2 linked regions of the Caenorhabditis elegans genome follow. The protein of the gene in region 1 interacts with the protein of each later gene in a pairwise test. Each region holds a gene or a part of one and is shown on either strand. Other genes may lie near its edges.

Evidence for each region.
Region 2: the proteins of rde-3 (region 1) and zyg-11 interact in a two-hybrid assay, tested with the Caenorhabditis elegans proteins (one large-scale study listed by BioGRID).

Annotation. Positions count from the first base shown.
Region 1 is NC_003279.8:6,355,967-6,360,480, reverse strand, and holds rde-3 (PAP-associated domain-containing protein), read left to right. Parts: upstream 1-2,070; 5' UTR 2,071-2,085; coding exon 2,086-2,262; intron 2,263-2,306; coding exon 2,307-2,545; intron 2,546-2,594; coding exon 2,595-2,813; intron 2,814-2,860; coding exon 2,861-2,953; intron 2,954-3,004; coding exon 3,005-3,090; intron 3,091-3,140; coding exon 3,141-3,339; intron 3,340-3,410; coding exon 3,411-3,536; intron 3,537-3,582; coding exon 3,583-3,769; 3' UTR 3,770-3,867; downstream 3,868-4,514. Other genes in the region: K04F10.3 (Vacuolar protein sorting-associated protein 28 homolog), read right to left, coding at 323-389, 857-1,059, 1,154-1,321, 1,369-1,551, 1,596-1,689, 1,733-1,806; Endoprotease bli-4, read right to left, coding at 4,023-4,137, 4,188-4,341, 4,395-4,514.
Region 2 is NC_003280.10:8,015,602-8,021,476, forward strand, and holds zyg-11 (Early embryogenesis protein zyg-11), read left to right. Parts: upstream 1-2,078; 5' UTR 2,079-2,090; coding exon 2,091-2,187; intron 2,188-2,230; coding exon 2,231-2,467; intron 2,468-2,510; coding exon 2,511-3,131; intron 3,132-3,183; coding exon 3,184-3,478; intron 3,479-3,527; coding exon 3,528-4,157; intron 4,158-4,203; coding exon 4,204-4,542; intron 4,543-4,599; coding exon 4,600-4,780; 3' UTR 4,781-5,184; downstream 5,185-5,875. Other genes in the region: hda-2 (Putative histone deacetylase 2), read right to left, coding at 5,317-5,875.

The sequences.
Region 1 (4,514 bases):
TGAGCATGTTGCTTGGAAAATCTGAAAGAATAAATTCATTTCAACGAAATGGTGCAATCAAAAAAATCAAGCATCTACAGTACATATTTTCAAAGAAAATAAGCAATTATGTGTGGGGAAGGAACAATACAAGTAAATGTGACAGGCAGAAAGACACACAGGGACCAAATATTGAAATCTGATTAGGAGGGAAAAAGTGAGGTCAAAAATAAATAGTACAATCATTGCAATACATTTATAAACGAGTTGGTGAGAGATTCTAGTTAAGGAATTTTGATATGACAGTGGATTTTCTATTTTTCGATTGTGAAGAATTCAAAAGTTAGTTTGTAGAATCACCAGCAGCGTTGTTATTCGTTGGTTGAGTTTTTGCAGAACGTTGATGACTCCTGAAAACAAAAAGAATTTTAAAGACAAATCATGAGGTAGCAAATTTTTTGGAAAAAATATTCGATCATATTTTATTACGACGATTTCGAAAAAAATGTACCATTTGTAAATTTTCGAAAAAAAAATTACTGGAAACTTATGAACTTAAAAAAATTGTTTTTTAAAAAATTTAACAAAAAATACACTGGACAAAAAACTAGTAACTAGAGTCAAAAAATGGCTAAAATTGTTAAAATTTCAACAAAAAAATCTTACAAAATTTTTTCATACTATTTGCATATTTTTCCATTTATTATGAGTTTTTTGGTACATTTCCGTCGATTATGCAAAAATTTCATCTATCGACCAAAAATCGCAATCAATGAAAAATTGTCGTGAACGACAAAAATATGTGATAAATAAGTAAGAATTACTTTGAAGCGTTAAATTTGAAAATAATTTGAATTAAAAATTTATAATAATTTACCGCCATAATGACACCAAATCTTTCACATTTGCTTCCCGAATATCTTCCATTTCGAGCATCATTCTCATCAAAAAAGTCTCAATTTCAATGGTTTTCTTTAATTTTCGTCTGTTTTCCGACCGAATTTCTTCGCGAGCAATGGACTGATCGACGAAGAGTGTCATCTGAGCAAATTCGTCAATAATGCGTGTGTTGGCTTTTTCCTGAAACAAAAATGAATAAAAAGCCTCAATAAAAAGCCCAAAAGCGCTTGAGACCTCAAACGTTTTTAAATTTTGAGTTTATAAAATAACTCACTATTGCGTTATCTATAGCTGCTTGAGAAACTTGTCTTGGCCTTTCTCTGACGTTCTGAACATGTTTGACCATCATCTGCCGATGATTGTGCATAATTGCTTCAAGAGCTAACATCAAATATTCGCGAAGGCATCGAAGCTCATGGGTGTCTTTTTGTAGAAGAATCAACTGAATGAACTCGTTTTTAGGGTTTTCAAAAACATTGGTACAAAAACCTCTTGGTGGCGGCTCGTGTCGTTTGAAGAATTTTTAACCAAACAAACTCGTCCATCCGCATCCAAAGTGTAGTTTTTATTGTTTAGTTTGTTAACTTCTTCATTAAGAAGGTTTTGATGTCCACCATTCCGAGCTAAAAGCGATTCGAGGGTTCTTTTACTGCTGGCGATGCCGTCACTTGCCTGCAAGAAGATTAGTTATTGAAACACTAATACATTTCACTTACAATCTTTTTATAACTCTTGTCAAGACTTTGATTAAGCACGAATTTCTCCAAATTGTTGATAACCTTCTGCGAACTGGCGCTATCAGTCCTGTAACTTTTGAAGCGATAAAAACATTATTATGAACAGATTGACTTACCATTTTACAGTCGTTTCTGCAGAAACTTGTGCTGAATTTTCATCGGGAACAAAAATACTTTCATCATCGGACATGCTTCGCTTTTTTGATTAAATTACAAAAAAAAATCGTTGGAGAAACGAAGAATGTGCATAGTGCACGGAGAGTGCGCTAACACAACTCCTTTGCGCGGTATCGGTGCGAGTCCGGGAAATTCATAAAATTGTTTATTCGTTTCTTGGAATGTTAATGTTCATTTTTATACAGCAAGCACATTTGTGCATTTCCTTCCAGTTTTTTAAAAGAATTATATTGTCGCGCTTTATTTCACCTCCAATGAGAATAATAATTGAATATTTTTTGTAGTAACAACAATGTCTCAACCAAATAAAGATCAGCGAAGTCCAGAAGACATAGACTTTAAGGTCAAAGCGAATCCAAAAGCGTTTCACAAATTTAACGGAAAGTTTCAACGCGTTTTAAGGGATCACGAGGACGATTTCAATATATTGTCTATCAGTATGCAGGATCATTTCGATACTACGAAACAGGTTGCTTTGAATTAAATGAAAAATTAAGAGTTCCTTATTTTCAGCCAAAAGAGGAGTTCGGTAAAAAAATGGATTGGTGCTATCAGCTGAAGAATATAATTTCGAAGAACAATCCAACGTGGCTATTCAATATCGTGCCAACTGGAAGTACAGTAACCGGATTGGCCACTAAAAACAGTGATCTAGACGTTGCAATTCATATCCCACAAGCGGCAAGAGTTCTGGAACAAGAAGAACGTGGAAGAAATATCACAGATGACGAACGACAAGCATCATGGAGAGAGTTAGGCTTTCTCGGGATTAATTAATTATTTAAATGACATAAATTACAGAATTCAATTGGAAATCCTACAAATTGTCCGTCTTAACTTACAAAATGATGAACAGATCAATTCAAGAATTAATTGGGAACATGGAATCCAGCTCGTTCAAGCTCAAATTCAAATTTTGAAAGTGATGACGGTAGACGGAATCGATTGTGATATCAGTGTAGTTATGGATCGATTTCTGTCATCGATGCACAATTCTTTTTTGATTCGACATTTGGCACAGTTAGTTTTCTTGTTGTTAGACATTCTATTTCCAATTAATTTTGAAGTATCGACGGCCGATTTGCACCATTATGTGCAATCGTAAAACAATGGGCAGCCAGTACAAAAGTTAAAGATCCAAAAGATGGAGGATTCAACAGGTTAAATATTAATCACTTTATTTGAATTTATCTAAAATTCTGAAATTTCAGTTATGCACTTGTTCTACTGGTGATTCACTTCCTCCAATGCGGTACATTTCCACCAATACTGCCAAATTTGCAAGAAATCTTTAAAAGTGAGTGAATATATTCTCTGTTGTTTTTTTTTCATAATTAAACATTTCAGAGGATAATTTCATTGCTTGGGATGACAAAGTCTATCCATCAATTTTGAATTTTGGTGCACCACTTCCCAAGCCTCTTCCTAGAATTGCCCCAAATAATGCTCCACTGGCAAGATTGTTCATCGAATTTCTATATTACTACTCGATGTTCAACTTCAAAGAAAACTACATTGGTGCCAGGCCTGTAATGGTCATGGATCGGTAGATTTTTTTTTCTGTGAATACAAATTAACCAATTGGATCTTCTTCAAAATAATAAACTGAAATTTCAGAAGAACATCACAAAACAATATGGTTCGTAGTTCAACAAACAAAGAGGTGTGTATTCAAGATCCATTCGATGAGCACAACCCGGGAAGAACTGTAAGAACATTGAATAGAATTAAAGATGTTATGAGGTAACCTTGAAGAAAACACAGATTTTAATTAATTGCTTACTTTCAGAAGCACATATCAGAAGTTTCTCCCTGTCGAAGGCTCCGAATTCACGTTTCCTACACTAGATGATATTATCAATATGTCACCAGAAGTGCCTAAACCATCGCGTGCAGAAGTTCGAAACTTCCGAGCTGAAGCCACAGAAGTGAATCGAGTCGGCTTAGGTGTCTACTGTCGGAACTCATTTGTATAGTCTTAATATGTCGATGTTTTGTCTTGTGTAATTAATTCAACAATCTATTTATAACATGGAAACAGTACGGTATAATAAAAATAAACCCGGTATAAGACAAAAGAAACAATACAATCACATGATAAAAGGCCACTTGAAAACGTTTCAGGTTTTAAAATTTTGAAAAAGAAACAATTACCCGGATTTCACAAGCATACACAAAGAAGTTGGCAGAAAAATTACAATTAAAAACATGAATTTTGAAAGGTTTGGTTTAAACAATTTGAGGGTTCACAAATACTTCATCCTCATCATCGTCTTCATCGTCAGTGTGTGCTCCTAAATTGATAGCACCATTTGTGGCATTATATTGAGCAAGCGGCGCATATCTAAAAATATTAAAATTCGAATTACGGAGACGATAACTAGCAAGGCTTACTCTACGTTTGAGCTTTTCGTCTCACTTGCACACTTTTTACAGGCACAGATTCCACAAGCCGCAATCAAACTAACTACAATCCAGAACATCAATCCAAATCCAGATGATTTATTAGAATCAATCAAAAGTGTAGGATCCGGCTTGGAGCAGTCCTCTGAAAAAATAATTGTGAGAATACCTGGAAGATTTTGAGAGTGTCTTCCTTACCACATTGCCAACTCTTTGTTGATCCTTCAGGACAACACGGTCTACAGTATCCAATCGATCCTTTACCATAACCTTTTGAACATTTCTCACAGCTCATTGGACCAGGAGCGGTGCAAGTTT
Region 2 (5,875 bases), on another chromosome or scaffold:
TTTTTGCATTTTCTCGCCACAAATCTTATTTTCTGTCTGCGTTACATCTCAAAGTCAGCAGAATGAGCGAATGATAACCATCTCTTGTACTGTTTATAACCTTCTCTCTTAATTTTTCTTGTTGTAGCCGCCGCTTCCCCCCAGTTCATTTCACCGTGTCTTTCGTTTCTCGAGAACCTTCTTTTTCTTTATTTCTTCCTTTTTTCTTCAAAAAATCAGTGTCAACAAGCTAGACCAGCTGACTTCTCAACTCTTCGGTCATTGCTCTTTTCGTGTTCATTTTGTTACACTTGTACTGCGTGCACATATGAAGATGAATTGGCAACGAATTGTTTGCAAAAGAAGTGATCGGAAGCTTAACTTTTCAGTGTGTGGAGCAGTACAAATACCATGTAGCTTTGTTTTAACTTGTAAGAGAAAAAAAGAGATGAGTAGGCTGGTTATTTCCAATGATTTTGAGATATTTCATGCGAAAAAGTTTACTTTCATCGATCTCACGAAAAACTTTGCACAACTCTCCTGATCTGCAACCAGAAAATTCGTTGTCCTTTCTGTTTTCTTTCTAAATTTTTTTTCTATTTTCGCTTGCCGTCATTATTATTATCCAACATTCGAGAGTATTTAGAGAAAATGAGAGAAAAAATGTGTGCTTTCTTTACAATTGACAGGAGAGAGAGACGTCGGGGAAACCCTCTTCTTCTGATTCTCACCCATCCCGTTATCATGATCACATGACACTTCCCTCCACTCCGGGGTTCCCCGTACTGAATGTAATCAGTTGGTTGGTCGACTACCCAGTCGACGGTGAAAACTTCACGCGAGCATCGCAATTTTCATTTATTTTTTCTTAACTTTTCTCGGTATTAACGCATTTTTTTCTTTTGTACGATACGATGCGACATGATTCAAGGTTGCCTCGATTGATTTTACTGAATTCAGAAGTTCAACCTGACGATTAGTAATTTTATTTATTTTATTCATCGGAAATACGATTAAATACTTAAAGCATTCTCAATATAATTTTATTGACCGTTGACACTCACATGTGAGTTGAGTTGATTTTTAGAAAAGAGACGTAATGGGAAAAAACCACGTGTAGTGTTATCAGCCATTCTCGAATGTCGTTGAAATTGTGCAATACCCGGACAACCACAATCCAGCGAACAAATTGATAATGATAGTTTGAAAAATTGTGTCAACTTATTCAAATTTGCAACAATGTTTAAAAGTGCGTAGATCATGTCTGCGTCTCATCGGGAATGTTGACCGCCTGATGTGCGTGCGCATTCGAAACAATTATCATCGACGTTTTCGAATTATTTTCCTCTCGTCTTCTCGGCATGCGTTTGCGTGCAATCATACCGAAGAAACGGTATAGTATACTGTTCAATCAGTTAGTCACATGTAATAGTTGAAAGGGGTTCCCCATAATGACATGTGATCTTTTCTTCTTTTTCCTTTTCTTCGTACTGTTCTCATGACGTAATGTTCTCTTGATTGAAAAAGAAGTCGTTGTTGAAGGAGAATTGAAAGAGATGCAGAAAAACAAATTATCGATAAATTTTCTGTTGCTATTCAATAAGATTTTTCAACAGTAAGGATGTAGTTTGTAACATACGAATATTAACATATCTTTGCACCCCGTATTAAATCTAATTGGAATTAATTTTTTATGTATCAGCAAAAGATGAAATTTTCGACCGTCTAATAAAAAAATCATTACTTTTATTTTAATATTACTTGTTGCTTAAAAATGCATTTTCGCTCCAATGACATGGCCGAGGACCGTTTAAGGCCGACGTTAATATGCCCATCGTCCAGTGTCCCATACTCTTTTCTACCTCTCCTTTTTCTCTTACTTTCATTTTCTTTGTGTAAGTGTCTGGAACCAGTCTGCTCCTTCTTTCTCATCTATTTTCACCCTCTCACTTTACTATTTGTTCTCATTTTCTATAAATTGCAACCTACATAGTAACTCATAGAGAGTCCCACTAAATATTTATTTAGCCCTCATTCATCAGGCACTTCGATCTCTCTTTACTTTTCACTAATAAAGTTAATTTTACTTTTAATTTCAGATTTCATCTGATATGGATCACAATGCAGCTCTGACGACATGCAGTACCTCGGCCATTCCGAGACTTGCGAGATTGGCGACTGAACGAATTGCTGAGCTCATCGAAAATGGTAAATTTATTGATTTCGGCATTTATGGAAATTAAAGTTTCAGATGCTCTGCCAGAGTTTGATCACAAGGTAATCGCCTCATGCAGCAACGATATTTTTGAAGTTCTTCGCCAAAAAAAGAAACTCAATCATCAAACTTTGCAAACGATGTGCAGTACCTCACGATTCCAAATCAATAAAATTGATTTGATGGGCAACAAGGTTGAGTTGCAAGATTTGGAGCTTTGTTCGAACCAGAACCTGGTTTCATTCCGACTTGGCGATATTGATTACTTTCCAAGTAAGCAGTTTTTGTTAAAACATTTTAATACATTTTTTTTCAGATACGAACAAAATTCAAGTGGCTGACGTGCTTGATACGGCACTCAACCGAACTTCACGACAACAGCTTCGACATCTTGATCTGAGTGGACGACACAGAATCACTTCAAATTGGCCGACGTATGTAGCGAGAAAACTTCCTCGTCTGGAAAGTCTTGCTTTCGCTAACAGAAGCACTGCCAACGAAACTTTGTCACAAATTGGAGCGAGTTTGTTGAATCTTCGGTTCCTGGACATTTCGAGCACCTGTGTCACGGATATTTCTTGCATTTCAAGTCTTCGAAATCTCGAAGTCCTCATTATGTACAACCTGAACATTTTGAAAGGGGATGTCACAGAGACATTGTCTAATTTGACAAAATTGCGTGTATTAGACATTTCAAGAAAAGTCAACACAGACTATTTACAAGAAACGTCACAGGATGCTCATCTCGATTTGGCTCTTGGTATCTACAACAGATCTGTGGAAGCAATTGAGAGCGGGACAGCTACGCCTTGGGCGGAGCTAAGAGCAATTGATATGTCTGGTTTGAGCATTGTTCAATTTGGTACCGATCGAGCACTGGCATTTGTTGAGAAGATTATTGAGGCGCATCCGAAATTAGAGCAAATTAGCTTACTTGGTTAGTAATAGTTTTATTCTGGAAATGTAGTGTTTTAATTCTGAAATTACAGCAACTCCACTCGACTCGTCACTCATTGAGATTCCAAACAGAAATTTGCAAGTGATCAACACAGTCTCGAGAAGATCTATCATTTTTGCATTGTCCCATTATGCAAATCTGGACAGGCCTGCATTCATCACTCATGCTCTCCATTCTGTGTATTACCAGTTACAGTCCGGCTACGACAAGTTTTCACAGGAGGAGTTGAAAGAGTGTTTACGGCTTGTGTGTATCTCGATGCAGCAGGGGCTCAACACTTTGCCAGTGCAGATTGCGGGTAGTGCTTGTCTCTATCATCTTTGCAAGTACGTATTATTATTTTATAAATGTATTTTCCATGATGGAAACTTTCAGAATGAAGCGAATCAAGAGATTATCAGTAAAAGAAGTCAACAATTGCATTGAACGGTCACTTGACGCAGCAGAGCAGTATAGAAGCATGACGCAGCTGCAGAAGAACGTCTGGCTTACAATTTGTAATGATTATCTTCTTCATTTGGATGAAATTGATTTCTACCGTACCTGCAAAGTTGCTCTCGACACGATGCTTTTGAATCGTGATGCCAGCGTTGAGAGAATGACTATTGCAATTGTGTCGATTGTGACTCCAAAGATGCGACCATCAGAAGCAAAGATTCTAACAACTGAAACCAAATATGTATACCATCTTGTCAAAATCATGAATGATTATCTGGAGGCATATACTCGTGAACATCGAGTTGGACACGAACGAGACAATGAAAATGCACTGTATACTCTGAAGTTCACCCTGAGTGCACTCTGGAATCTAACAGACGAATGCCCGGCTACATGCAAAGCATTTTTGGATGCTGGAGGTGTTCAGATTGCGTTCAGAATTCTCAAAGCTTTTGATTATCATGGAAATGTGCAGACGAAGGTTCTTGGCATCCTCAACAACTTGGCCGAAGTGGAAGAATTGCATTTGGGACAGCTTTGCAAAAACGAGTATATTTCTGTTCTTATGTATGTTTTTTAATTCGTTGAATTCAATTTAACCAATTTTTTTCAGTTCTTGTCTTGACGGATCATTCAACGAAGTAGATTCGAAAGGACGGTATCGTGAAGTTGAACGATCTTATTTCGCTGCTGGAATTCTCGCTAATCTTCTGACCAACACTGATGGTTGGGAGAGTGAAAATCAACGTGACGAAGCTTGCGAAAAGCTCTTGGAGCTTATTGAGCAGTATCCCACACTTCCATCGGCAATGGTCTCCTACAAATCTTTCATTCCATTCAGTCGTATTGTTAGAGAGTCAAATTCGAATGGGGCCATCATGTGGTGTTTGTGGGGAGTTCATCACGTTCTTCAACATCGCGAGAAGAACAAAGCGCCTACGTATGAGAAAGGGTACGTTTTTGATTTACTTTTTTCTTAATTTCAAAAATCATTTCAAAACATTTTCAGATACATCGAAATGTTTATGGATTCCGGGCTTTCTCCAATCGTCGAGGATATGTCCCATGGACACTCGAAACACATTCACAATCTGGATATTCGTGTGGTTCATCTCGCACGAGAAATCATTGACATTGTCTCATGCCATTCACTATCTTCCAGCCCAGTTCGATTAGTCCGTCGAGTTTAGTCATTTTTTTGTTTATTTTTTTTATTATTATTTTTGTTTAGCTTTCCCATTTTCAAAGTCCCCATCTACAGGTATATCAAATTGAAACAAGTTATATTTATACGGGTTGATATTTTTATCCGTTTCACCCATAGCAATTAGATTGCATTAAAAACTAAATTAGATGTTTGGTTTCACTATTTTTCACTTCTCCCTGTAATATGTTGAACTGTGAATGTGATTACTTCTGTGGATATTTCATCGGTTGTTTCCATTTCTTTTTCTGTACCCATCCCTACTCACAAATTTGCTCGTCCCACTTTCTTTCGCGGGTATTTTTTCGGGAGTACCATTTCCTCCTTTATGTTTGAAATAGTTGTATATTTTCAGATTCTATTGTGAATGAAAACGTTGAAGCTCTGAAATTTGGTTTATTACTTGAGAAATTTAGAGATCATGCAACAGAAAACAATATAAAATCGGAAATACTGAAAACCAACACAGAAAAGATTTTTGACAAATTCATCACAGTGTTTAATCATTAATTACATGGAAAGTTACGGAATTCCGGGAATATTGAGATCTTTTCGTCTGTCGCGATCTTCATATTTTGCTTCTTCAATAACATCCGAGTGACTTCTCGGTGGAGCCAATCCAGACCTGTCATATCCCCAGTACTGACCAATCCGACGAGGATCTTGACCCGGTGGAAATGATGGAGGTTTTGAGTCTTCTTCTACAAAGCATTCTTCTTCCATTTTCTCTGATACTTTTCCAACTTCATATTCAATTGAAGATTTTGATGATTTTTGTAGTCGTTCATTTTCTTCGATTTGCTCAATTTCGTCGAGCCTGATTCCAACAATATTTTGCATTTGAACTGATGGTGCTCCACGAATCATTCTCAAACATGCCAGCGTTTCTTTTTCAATAGAAGCCAAATATGCCGCAGAATTAGCATCATTCATTTTTGGAACCAAATTTGGGCGAAGAAGTCGTGGAGTGAAATAGTGCGAGTATAATGATGTTCCAGGGATTTCATCGTCCATTCGAAGACCTAAAATGACTCCAGTTTCAAGGGCCCAGCATCTCGCAACATTTCTAAGTGTATATCCA